Linked DNA regions of Daphnia pulex. The protein of the gene in region 3 purifies or fractionates together with the protein of the main gene of each other region. This does not show direct contact. Links are inferred from orthologs where the notes say so. Each region holds a gene or a part of one and is shown on either strand. Other genes may lie near its edges.

What was found.
Region 1: the proteins of THO complex subunit 4-like (region 3) and regulator of nonsense transcripts 1-like purify together in Homo sapiens (co-immunoprecipitation; 3 studies listed by BioGRID and IntAct, with this or other methods). This does not show direct contact. The link is inferred for Daphnia pulex from reciprocal best matches to the Homo sapiens genes ALYREF and UPF1.
Region 2: the proteins of THO complex subunit 4-like (region 3) and complement component 1 Q subcomponent-binding protein, mitochondrial-like purify together in Homo sapiens (affinity purification with mass spectrometry; 3 studies listed by BioGRID and IntAct, with this or other methods). This does not show direct contact. The link is inferred for Daphnia pulex from reciprocal best matches to the Homo sapiens genes ALYREF and C1QBP.

Annotation. Positions count from the first base shown.
Region 1 is NC_060017.1:7,855,786-7,860,034, forward strand, and holds the start of regulator of nonsense transcripts 1-like, read right to left. Parts: upstream 2,832-4,249; 5' UTR 2,653-2,831; coding exon 2,467-2,652; intron 2,407-2,466; coding exon 2,155-2,406; intron 2,092-2,154; coding exon 1,919-2,091; intron 1,855-1,918; coding exon 1,469-1,854; intron 1,411-1,468; coding exon 1,306-1,410; intron 1,244-1,305; coding exon 1,141-1,243; intron 1,081-1,140; coding exon 921-1,080; intron 849-920; coding exon 565-848; intron 506-564; coding exon 247-505; intron 185-246; coding exon 1-184. Other genes in the region: uncharacterized protein LOC124197441, read right to left, coding at 3,839-3,963, 4,037-4,249. UniProt on the Homo sapiens protein: RNA-dependent helicase required for nonsense-mediated decay (NMD) of aberrant mRNAs containing premature stop codons and modulates the expression level of normal mRNAs.
Region 2 is NC_060026.1:13,819,516-13,823,754, reverse strand, and holds complement component 1 Q subcomponent-binding protein, mitochondrial-like, read right to left. Parts: upstream 2,813-4,239; 5' UTR 2,753-2,812; coding exon of another isoform or gene 2,505-2,752; 5' UTR 2,431-2,504; coding exon of another isoform or gene 2,284-2,430; 5' UTR 2,227-2,283; coding exon of another isoform or gene 1,989-2,226; 5' UTR 1,667-1,988; coding exon 1,450-1,666; intron 1,388-1,449; coding exon 1,237-1,387; intron 1,172-1,236; coding exon 972-1,171; intron 915-971; coding exon 826-914; intron 763-825; coding exon 613-762; 3' UTR 554-612; downstream 1-553. Other genes in the region: uncharacterized protein LOC124203752, read left to right, coding at 1,989-2,226, 2,284-2,430, 2,505-2,752, 2,813-3,718, 3,784-4,239.
Region 3 is NC_060025.1:2,695,801-2,699,191, forward strand, and holds THO complex subunit 4-like, read right to left. Parts: upstream 2,005-3,391; 5' UTR 1,797-2,004; coding exon 1,611-1,796; intron 1,450-1,610; coding exon 1,294-1,449; intron 1,235-1,293; coding exon 1,121-1,234; intron 1,057-1,120; coding exon 751-1,056; 3' UTR 518-750; downstream 1-517. Other genes in the region: uncharacterized protein LOC124203100, read left to right, coding at 1-137, 204-373; ribonuclease Z, mitochondrial-like, read left to right, coding at 2,282-2,562, 2,618-2,804, 2,873-3,098, 3,160-3,391. UniProt on the Homo sapiens protein: Functions as an mRNA export adapter; component of the transcription/export (TREX) complex which is thought to couple mRNA transcription, processing and nuclear export, and specifically associates with spliced mRNA and not with unspliced pre-mRNA.

The DNA.
Region 1 (4,249 bases), on a different chromosome or scaffold from region 3:
CGTAAAAGAAGTTGGAAGGAAACTCGGACAACCTTGGGTGCATACGGTACTGTACTTCCAAACGGAAGGGCCGGATGCCAAGTACTACCAGTCTTTCAAACAGTGATTGCGAGAGACCAGCTTTGGCAGCTGGTTTACACATCACCACTGGGCCCAACTGACAATGATCTCCAACCAGAATGAGCTAAACACCCAAAACATTGAATTAATAAAAATCTAAAACACATAATACCAAGGGATTCTTACCTGTCTTGCTCCTAGGACGACAGGGACCATGCATTCAGGTTCAGTAGCTTGCATTGATTCATCGATCAAGATAGATGCAAACTTAATGCGAGCCAAGCGAACATCACCAGCACCAACACAAGTGCACGCTAATACATCTGCTGCTTCGAGTAGCTCTCGTTCTGCTTGTCGCTTTAACATGCGGTATCGCTTTTCATCTCCCTGTGAAAGCTCACCGACTTCCTCCTTAAGCTGGACCAGCTTTCGCAACTCTGAAGCTCTATAATAGAAGTTAACTTTAGCCCCACGATGACACATTTTCGCAAAGTAAATTCTTACCCTTCAAGACATCGAACTTGATTATGCAAGGCCAAGAACGAGACGGGTGAATCAATGGCCTCTCTGGATTTCGCGCACAAACGGACCACTTTCAGACCAGTTCGATGAATCTTTTCAGTCAATTGGTCAACAGCAATGTTGGACGGAGCGCAAACTAATACTGGCCCTGATCCTAGTTTAGCCAAATGGTACACGATGGTGGCCGATGTAACCGTTTTCCCGGTACCAGGAGGTCCTTGAATTAATGTCAATGGACGTTGAACTGCTTGTTTTACAGCAAAAACCTGTAAAGCGTAACATTATGAGATAAGCAATGAATGTTCTATGTTCTATCAAGTAACAACTAAATTTTATACCTGAGATCGATTCAGCTCAGGCAAGTCAGGAGCAGAGAAATGTTTAGGGAGATGTAGGCGGAATACGACATCTTCAACCTCGTGACCGAGCAAACGATGATAAATGTAAGCTGAAACGCTACTTTCGTCAACTGCAAATTTCCGCAGGGCCGATTGCATCCTGAAAGACATGTTTCTTAGTCACTAGATCTCTTTGAAATACGAGCTCATCGGATGTTACCTATCAAAAGACGTTGATTTCCAGACAAAATCCACGACGAAATTTGTGGAACATTCTGTAGGAGCTCCGTTTGAATTCTTTAATTCAATTCCGACTTCTTCGCCTAAAATATAGTTATTTATATATTATATTATCATTATTATTACTATTATATATTAGACTGACTGTAGTTGTCTGGAAGTTTAATCACGTGCCCCAAACCAGTCCACGGTTTGTGTAGTTCCCCAAGGTAACGCAATCTTAATTCGTCACCATGCATCAGTTTCATATCTGAATTAACGAAAAATATGAGAAGGGACACTAGTGAACTATAAATATTAGGCATTACCGCTATCTGTCTTTTGAAGACTAAAGTAAGCGACAGTCTTTTTATTAAGACCGACATCCCAGCGAACGTGAACGTTGTCTTGAGTTTGGGCTTCTTTAACTCGTCGGTCGTAGTCTGCTTCAAGTTTCACTAGCGGACCAAAAATATTCTGATATTGATAGCCATCCTCATATCGCAGCAATACGTGCTGAGGTTCTTCGTCAACGCCAGGACGTTCCAGGTCTTCAAAACTAGCCTCAGGTTTCTCTTTCCACATCTCTTCCAAACGGTTCAATTGCTGGGCCGTCAATTGACGAGCTCTCATCTGTTCGGCCTCTGAAGGGCTTCGAACAAGCCAACTGAGGAAACAACGATCAGCTATAAGTGGTTTCCATTGTTCAATGTCCCTATTAGCAAGAAGAAGTTAGTAGAAAACCACACATGACAAACAGCACAGTAAATTTAACTAACCAGTTCATGTCTTTCAATGATGACTGAGCTGCACAAGGTTGGCGACACAGCAGCACAACAACTGAATCTGCTTTAGCAGGAATGAACCCCAAAACAAAAACATTTCTGACTCCACAAGAATAGCACTCCAAAACTGTTTCACCCAACGGTCCATCACGATGCAATGTAACCTCCTGAAAAATTAAGAGTTTGATTATAAACAAGGATTAAGATTTATATTTTTAAAATATTTTTACCTTGTGTTTGGCTCGTACAAGATGATTAACAATGTGAGAGCCAGAAGTATTACCTTTGCCATTGCAAAACCATTTCTTGCAAATATTACACATTACAACACAACCAGGATCATGGATGCCGCAATACTTGCATGCATGTGGTGGCAAATCTTTGCTGTAATAGCCCTCTTCATCTTCTTCCTCAAACTGGAGATCGTTCAAATTTTTCATTGCAGTAGCAAGTTGAGAATCAATCGTGTCCAGCCCATTCGCCTGAAAATGACCACAAATTACAGAAATGTTTTCAAAGTTTCACCAGGCAGGATTTCTTACCTGATGTTTTCCCATTGATTTGTGAAGGCTGGCATGATCAATTTGTGAAGCCTGGGTTTGACTCGGCAAAGTAAAATCGCGAAAATCGAAATCAGTTCCCTGAGTGTCTGCCCCAAGTAAATCATTTTCCTCGGTGTCGAGAAACGTGAGCGTTTGCGAATTGGGCCCAAAAGTGTCCACACTCATTTTGCCAAATGGTATAGCAATTAATGACGTCAATTACAATCTCTTACGGAACGAAACTCGCATGTGTGTTTTCACGGCTGTGCGAGTTTTCCCTTTTCCTTTAGTGCGATCGAAGCGCCATCTCTCGGCTTGATGGTTGATGCAACCGCCCTCTTGCGCAATCTTTTGAAAAATGTAATGAAATACCAGTTGTGTTGCACATTAGATAGGCACAGTGGCACACAAACAAACACACTTAGATCTAAGCTAAATAACAACGCTTTATAGATAAAGATTTTCGGGATCGCCAGATTATGTGCTCCTATGGTACTTTTTGTGCCCAGTCACAAATTATTATTGTTCACATTCGTGATTTAAATATTGCTTGCAGGTTATAGTTACATTGTTATACAGAAAAGAATTAATGAAGTAGAAACAGGTCTTAAACCACGATTCAGATAATAATTGAGTCACAGAATTAGGAAGCCAGTGGTTTCAGAGAAAAAGACATTTCATTTCTCGTAGACATATAGGGCTGTTCGACATCTTTTTTAACATTTGTTGCCATCGTGGCAACGCAGCAACTCATGTATTTTTGTCTGCTACGAGTGACTTGTGTTTGTTCTGCGAAATATGAATTTTTTTGAAAAATAGTGATAGAAAAGGGGGTTGTTTTGAAGTTGTGATGTGTTTTATTTATATATTAGTTCGTTATAGTGTTAGTGTTTAACTATGTCACTGTCTAATTATGCCAGTGGACTTAGTATTGAGGCCAAAACACGTTATTTGGGAAAGTTATTTGTGCAGACAACAATTTCAAGAGAAAAACATTCCACGAATCGTGCATCAAGTCGCAAACTAATCCCCCAAAAAGAATAACAAAGCTTTGGAAGTATGACACTTGCAAGAAAGCTGCTCGTGCCGTAGCAGCCGCAGCGGCAAAAGCAAAGAAAAATAACTTACCGGTCGTTCCTAGTAACAGTCAAGTTCAGAGAACAGCACTTTCCAATATAACCTCAATCAGTAGGCCCTAGTGAGCGAAAAGATACAATTTGTGTACCTTCCTTTGTAAAAAAGAAAATCTCCATTTGTGAAAATGTTGTGTTTGATTAAATTATTACGAAGAAAATGGTAATATGTTTGTGCCCCTGTTAACCAAGGTTAATACATCAAGTATTTATTGAAAATTTTTGGTTTATTATGACAATTATTCACCTAAACACACTACAGTAAGGGTACAACAGATGAACACGAAAACTGAAGTTGTTAGTGATGAATCACCGGAAGTAAATTCGACGTCCCTGATGGATTGACTTGAATTATTTAATGCAGCTGAAAATTATAAGTAATGAACCAAAATATTACTTTCATTAATTACAAAATTACATTTTAAAACATTACTTACGCAATGCATCAAAGGTGGTTTCAACCGTTATGATAGTTTCATCATCGGCAGTTGAAGTCATGTCAAAAGTTTCCGTACTTGTTGTTACATCGTTCAAGGATGGGATTGGATGAGAATCACTTATTAGAAGTGTATCTTCAATTAATGCAACATCTTCATCGAAACTGTTTGAGGTATCTTCAGTTGCAGTTTCAACATCTATCAATGGAGGTG
Region 2 (4,239 bases), on a different chromosome or scaffold from region 3:
TAATATGTTTTGAGGACCGGTTTTAATTGAAATTACAACCGTGTTGAATAAATTTTCAATCAAGAAAAGTGCTCTAATTTGTTAATGATCTCTGCTTATCCTGCCCAATCTTCATCTACAGTTCAAAGGTACAAGTGTGGGACACACAAAGCTCTTAAAGTATGTTAATTGATTATTGTATTTTTATTTTTCTAGGTTAAATTTGTACCATGAATAGTGTAAGTGAAGCCTGTAGCCAATTGAAGCAAAATTATGATGCATGTTTCAACACATGGTTCACAGAAAAATTCTTAAGAGGGGATCATTCAACAGACTCATGTGGTCCTTTCTTTAAGGTGTATCGTGAATGTGTTAGGGTAAGTTAATTTTGGTCCAACATTTCTGTCTTTTATAGATGTTTATCTACTCTTTTCTGTTTTAGAAAGCAATCCAGGAACAGAATATTGACCTTAAAGAAATAGAAAAAGAAGTAATGGGGACTGAAAATGAATTTAAGACCCCTGATGGTTCTAAATAACCATTGTTTTGGAAAACCATAAATAATAAATCAGCATTTTAAACAAAATGACTACATAGCTTTTTATTTTTCATCTCAAAACTATTCTAAACCTTTCATTTGCCTTGGACAAAAGACTGAAGGCTCTCTAACAAATTAATAAATAGATGGTGTTCCCGCTTGGTAGCTAGATCGCTCAGCTTTTCAGCAAATTCGTTGGATACTCCTCGTTCTTCGAGCAGATTCATCAGAAGGTCGTACATGTACTATAACGAAAATGTGAAATATCAGTTTAATTTGGTTAAAATATTGTTGACTTTAAAATATACCCCATCAAGAATGTCTCCAGCGACAGCATAAGTCTGATCATTATGTTTGTCCTCATATACTGCAAGTTCATCAATAGTGAAAATGTCATCTGAAAAAATCGAGTGTTATTTATATTGTTGGCTATTCAAATACAATTAACACTTACTTGGGGCATCTTCAACAGGCTCTCCTGCATCTTGAATGTAACTGCAGGCAAATCTGGTTACTTGATTTCCCTTCATTAGTTTGACTTCAAAGTGTGGTTTTGATTTCATTTCAGCCTGGGGAGGATTGTCAGCTTTGTTGTCAACTTCCTCACTGATGTCAGCATCAACAGAATGGTTGACGTTAACTGTTATCTCAATTCTGTTTAATGAATAAAATTAAGCCACAAGTTTCAATTTAGAATTGTCCCATAAAGATTTACTCACTGTTCATCATTAAATTTCTTAGACAATACTATCTCTGAACCATTGTGTTTAACATCAAATCCATCCAAGTTAGCGACAGGCCTGGCTTTGCTCATTCCCTTCTTCTCAGCAGCAATTTCCTCTGAGAGGAACTCAATCAGCTCTTTGTCCCCTATGATGCAACATATATTATGCTGTATTTAAATGTGACGTGAAATGGTTAAAATGTATTACCTCTTGTATGAACTCCTCTGCATTCTCCACATGGGCAGGAAGGGCTCAGGGGAGTATGTTTGAATGCTGGAGAAAGTTTTGTTGGGACAAATTGATTTGTGGGATTAGACATGTACCACAAAGACCTGGTAATGGGTTTCGACAGGATAGACCTCATGGACGCCGGTAACGCATGGCGTGAAACGTTTCGAACGACATTTATCACCGAAAATGACATTATGGGAATGAGATTTTGAACTTTAACAGAGTCTTACAAATTGAGATTTTAAAGAATGAATAGAGCGAACGAAGATGAACTTTATCAGCGAATTAAATAATAATTCTGCAAGGGACTGTGGTGCAAGAGCAAGACTGCAAGTTAAGACAAGAATCTTCTGGCAAAAGCAGAAGCCACGAGGAAATATATCGATTATCGAGTTTTTTCCACTATCGATTAATTGTTGTGGGTTTTTGTTTACAACTTAAACTGAACTCAAACTCCCTCCGAAACTGTGAAAACAATAAAAGGAATATTTAGTTAATATTCAATCGTCTTTAAGATGGGACCTCGTAACAGATGTTTTCTGAGTCCATATTGCACATCTGTTACATCGGGTAACGGAAATGAAAAATACTTTAGTATGCCAAGTATCCCAAAGGTAAAAGCTGGGCCTATGTGTGAATTGACAAAACAATTAATCCAAAAGAGACGTTCTTTGTGGTTGAAAGCATTGGGTCTTACTGAAGCTGATACGGAAAGAGAACCAATTTTAGTTTGCTCAAAACATTTTGTATCAGGTATGTTAGATAGAATATGTGTGAAAATAATTTGATCATATTTCAATATCTATATAGGTAAACCTGATGTAGGTGTGGATTGGGTGCCAAGTTTAAACATTCCGATTCCAAAAATCATACCTGTTCCACCCCCCACAGAAGAGCACAGTTACTGTCAGTCAACAGTGCCACCAACTGCTTACCAATGGAAGACAACTGTTTCAGGTACGATAGTGTCTAAGTCATTATCACCTTTTTCAACCTTTGCTTTGACTACAATGTTGTAAATTCATGTATAGTTAAAAAAAAAAGATTATTGAGTCAGAGGCGTAGTCGTCGTCTACCAATACTTAAAAAGAAAAAAGAGAAGGCTATTGAAAAAGCCACGAAAGCAGAGAAAAAAGCCAAAGACATCGAGGTAAAAATTCGAGAAAAGAAATGGAAGAAAAAGAGACTTGCCATAAAAAAGGCAAAAAGAGAAGCAAAAATTAAAATAGCAGAGAGAGAAGCAGCTCTTTTATTAAGAAAGAATAATAAAAAAAACAAGGTATAGACAATTTTTTGTTACCTAGAACTTCACCAAATAATAACAATGTTTAAAAATCAGGTGCTGCCTGAACCAAATGCAAATCAAATTGAATCAATCGATATGCAACTACCCTCTGCTGAGGATCATTTCGACACGTCGTTTACGCGAATAAGTGAAATTAGTAAACAGTTCAACACATCAGGAAATGACTCCATCACAACCGAAGTTAAAGATATGTCGAATACTCTACCGCCTGTATCAAGCATTTCACCAACAGTATCCAACGGTCATCTGATAATTTCCGGACCATCCGCTCAACAACAACACGTCGAGGCAAATTTGGTTGTTGCGTCTACGGATAAAGTTACCCCTTTGGCACCATCTGTTTCAAAGAACGAATTTCTGCAGCTTTTATCGTTAAGTCAAATCGGTCAAGGTTCAGGAAGAAAATCGACGCCTGTCAAAATTGCGCCAAAAAGCAGAGATAGCAATGCTCCTAAAAGAGTAACTGAACCATTGAAAAACACCGTGAAACTTCCCTCCAAGATTTTGATTGTGAGAAAAGATGCATTTGATAAAACTTCGAGAACCGTGATAACGCTAAAGTCATCATTAAATACTCCGCCTCACATCGTACAAAAGAATGTTGGAAAGATTGTACAGCAAATCCAAGCTCCTCCTTCTTCCACGACACTCCAGCAACAACCAAAACTCGCGGGAAACTCGACTCCGACTATTAAGTGTAAAGCTTTTTCTTCAACAGATCCAGCCCTCAAAACCAACGTAGCTGAACCATTAAAAATGCTACAACCTGCTGCCAAGACTTTGATTCTGAAAAAAGGTGAACCTGCTAAAACTTCACCAACTGTTGCAGCACAAACAAAATCTGCAAACCCTTCCTGTCCTGTATTGCCAAAAAATACGGAGGTCGTATCTCGAATGGAAATGATGGAACCATCATCGCCAGCTCCTCAAAATGGACTAGTAATTTATTACTGTAGTTGCCTCAGTATTTCTTTGCGATTTTTAACGATTTGGTTTTTCTTTAGATATCTCAAAATCTGCACAACATCGATACTTACATCCGAGACCTGATGCTTAAAAAGAACCCCACCGCTCAGGACACTAATCTGAGTTCTTTATTGCTGAATCTAATTAATCATCACCAGAAGAACATTTTGGATTCGGGAAAACCAGCTGCTCAAGCCCAAGCCCAAGCTTCAACTGCTCGAGTCACTCGCGATAGTGCAAACCACGAAGTTGTAGACCTAACTAAGGACGACTGTGACTATATTCTCCCCGATGTTGCTGCCCCAAACAATTTACGCCCAACTTGCAATTGTCGCAACTCCGTTGAGGAAGTAACCTCTTTGAGATACCAACTAGAACAAAAATCAGTTGCATTGAAGGCTTGTAACAGCGATATAGATAATCTGAAGAAAGAGCTTTGCGAGGCAAAGGAGTACATAAGTAATCTGGCAGCACAATTGCAAGAAAATACTCAG
Region 3 (3,391 bases):
TTCAGCACCAGTGGCCGCAGACCAGCACGAGTCCAATTTGTCCCAGGGTCAGACATCTAATGAAATTACAACAGTGGAAGAAGTCAACGCCGAAATGAACCTCATACTTCACCCCCGAGCCGGAATTCTACTCCACAGTAATACCTGATTAAATTAAATATAGTTATGAATTAATAGTAACAAAACATTTGTAACGAAAACAGGTTTCCAATTCTCTAAACCAACCAAGTTTAACAGCGAAGCCGCAGCCTTCGCTCAACCATCACGAATTCCTTACCGTGGAAGTTCAATTCCAATCATCGACAGCATCAACGAGGCTGCAGTAGCTCAGCAACTACGTCAAGCAATCCGCCGTACACTTCGCAGCTCATAATAAGCACTTCACAATCTTTATAAACATGACTTTGTTAAAAAAAAAATTTGTAGTTTTTCCAATACACTCAATTTGATACAATTGGACGTTACTAGATCTTTTGGCTTCTACACATCTCGGGAATCACAAATAAAAAAACAATGGTTTTTCGCTGAAAGCTTCATTTTTTTTTGTCTTAAAACCAGGTCTGACAGGTTTGTCTTTCAAAACACTGAATTTGTATGAAAAGAACGAAAGAAAAAACATTATTGAAAAAGTGGTGGTGGTGAGGAGAATAAGTAAAGGTGATCAGGAGTTTGCGTCAGTGATTCAACCTCTGATCCACCACGTGTGGACTCAAAGAAATCAAATAATTTGGTGAACATTACACGATTGCGTTATTTCAATTCACTCCTGTATGACTCCAACTCGGCATCAAGCTCATCTGCTGTCGGTGCAGGCTGTTTGGGATTGCGTTGGCGAGCACCACCAGCACCACCTCGCTGACCACGCTGGCCTCCTCCTCCTCCTCCTCTCTGGCCTCTGTTGGAAGCTGGTGCACCAGTCCTCTTTTGTTGCGGCCCGTTGTTAGTGTTAGCTCGAGGGCTGGTTAGTCGGTTGGCGATTGTGTTCAAATCGGAAGTAGCCATCTGAATGACCATTGATCGACCATCCAATGGGACTCCGTTGTACTGTTTCATTGCCTATGGAAAAGAAACAAATATTGATGCTGTGTGTCCTACAGTTGACAAGTTTCATGAAGTTTACCTTGACGGCATCAAGACGGCGCTCAAACACAACATCAGCTGTACCGAGAGATCTGCCTGATCTGTCATAATGCACAGAAGCATGTTTCAATGGTCCAAATTCCATAAAAAGTTCCTATAAATAGAATTATTCAATACATGTTCATCATGACAGAGAAGCAATATATGTTATACCTTAATGTCTGCATCTGACACACCAAAGTCTAAGTTAGAAACAACAAGCTTGGAAGAGCCGCCTCCAGCAGCATTCGGTGCAGCACCCAACCTGGGATTGCTTTTCCTTGGTCCACCTTCATACATGTCATGAGACCAGTCACCATCTGGGTTGCCCTAAAAATAACATACACAAAGAGTCAGCACTATTGCATCACGAAGACTGTAAGATACAGACTAGCTTGGATTTGAAATAGACGAACAAGTCAACCAAGGATTATGCAATACTTTCTGATAGAACATAAAAAAACAAGAAGAATAACTTAACAAATATTTACCTTGGCGTAAGGTGCAGCACGACCCCCAGCATTTCCCTGTCTTTGATTACGAACGGGTCCTGAGCCGGCATTACGGTTGCCTCCACGAGAACTGCCACCACGACCGCCGCGTCCTCCACGGCCCCGGCCGGCTGAACGGCTAGTTTTGATGATATCATCCAAGCTCATGTCAACTTTGTCGCCCATTTTGATAACAATAAGTTTGTGGAGGACTTGACAAAATTAAGGACTATCAATTTAAAAACGAAACACAAGTTTAAGAAAGATTCAATAAGAACGAAACAAATGGATGATGGTGACAGGGACGGTACGACAATGACGCCACGCTCAATCTCTATGCCAAGTTAACGAATATGAGCCTAAGCAAACTCTCAATGGCGCCCATATTGCCCGTTTGCCAGTTTCAAAAACAAGAAACATAAATAATTTAATACTCCTTTTATTCTAAGTGATTTATTTTTCAAATAATAAATTTAAATTTATTTGATTCAATTTTACAAATAAAAAACAGTTTAGTTTCAAATTAAGTTTTTAACCGACGTGGTTGCCAAGCCCGGTGTTTTGATTCTGCTTTTCAACCCTCTAGATGACAACACGTGTTTAAAGTTAAAAGTTAGTGCCTGTAAATTTTAATTAGGCCCCATAATATCCCGATTATCAAGAAATATCTAATGAATTTGCGATTTGCATTGTTAAATGTTGTAGTTGTTACTGTACGTAGTTTTCATTCTAATCAAAAGGTATTCGGCGATATAAAAAATAAAAATCGTGTGTTAAATTTACTCGCCAACATGCCGAAAGATACGAGTCATGTCGCACGTCTTCAATCAGAAAGACAGGCAAAGAAGATTACTAAAACAAAATACCCACCAGGAACCGTAACATTACAAGTTCTGGGTTCTGGTGTCCGTGGTGCACCACGGTCCCTCTATATGTTCACCGATCAATCATGGTAACATTTTAAATTAAAGCAAAAGTATTTTAGTCTAATTCCTGTTTGCTTTTAGTTATCTCTTCAATTCCGGAGAAGGATCTCAACGCTTGGCCCATGAGCACAAGTTTAAGCTGTCCAAAGTTGAGAACATTTTCTTCACCCGTACATCTTGGCAAAATGTGGGTGGATTACCTGGAATTTCATTAACAATTCAAGATGTTGGTGTTCCCAATATCACACTCCATGGACCACCTGGATTGGTAAACAAATAACATCTAAGCACACATTTTAATGCAGATCCAATAATATCATAATCTAATTTTAATAGGGTGAATTATTTACTGCTGCCTCCAGATTCATCATATTAAAGAATTTACAAGTCAATCATGTGGATGCTACTTCACCTGCATCATCTTATGAAGATGCTGCCATGAAATTAAATTATGTAACTATTATGCCCAATGATGATGCAAAATTACCACGTTCAGCTTCTAGTTCTCCTATCGAAGAGGAGGATGTGACCAATTATTATTGTCGAGAAAAAGGAAATCCTGGTGAGTTATCAGTGGTTACAAATTATTAGAATCGAAATGTAAACAAAATTAATTTTCTTAGAGGACGTTCCAGCTGCTAAAAGGACTCGTGTTGAAGATGAAAGTGACGAGAACCCGAAATCCAAAGCCGTTCTAGCTTATGTATGCCGTTTACAAGCGAAGCAGGGTACGCTTATTGCGAAAAAGTGCTTCGATTTGGGGGTCCCACCCGGACCACTCTACGGCCAATTGAAAGCTGGGCAAGATATCACGCTTCCCAATGGCAAGACTGTTTTAGCTTCTGACGTCTGTTC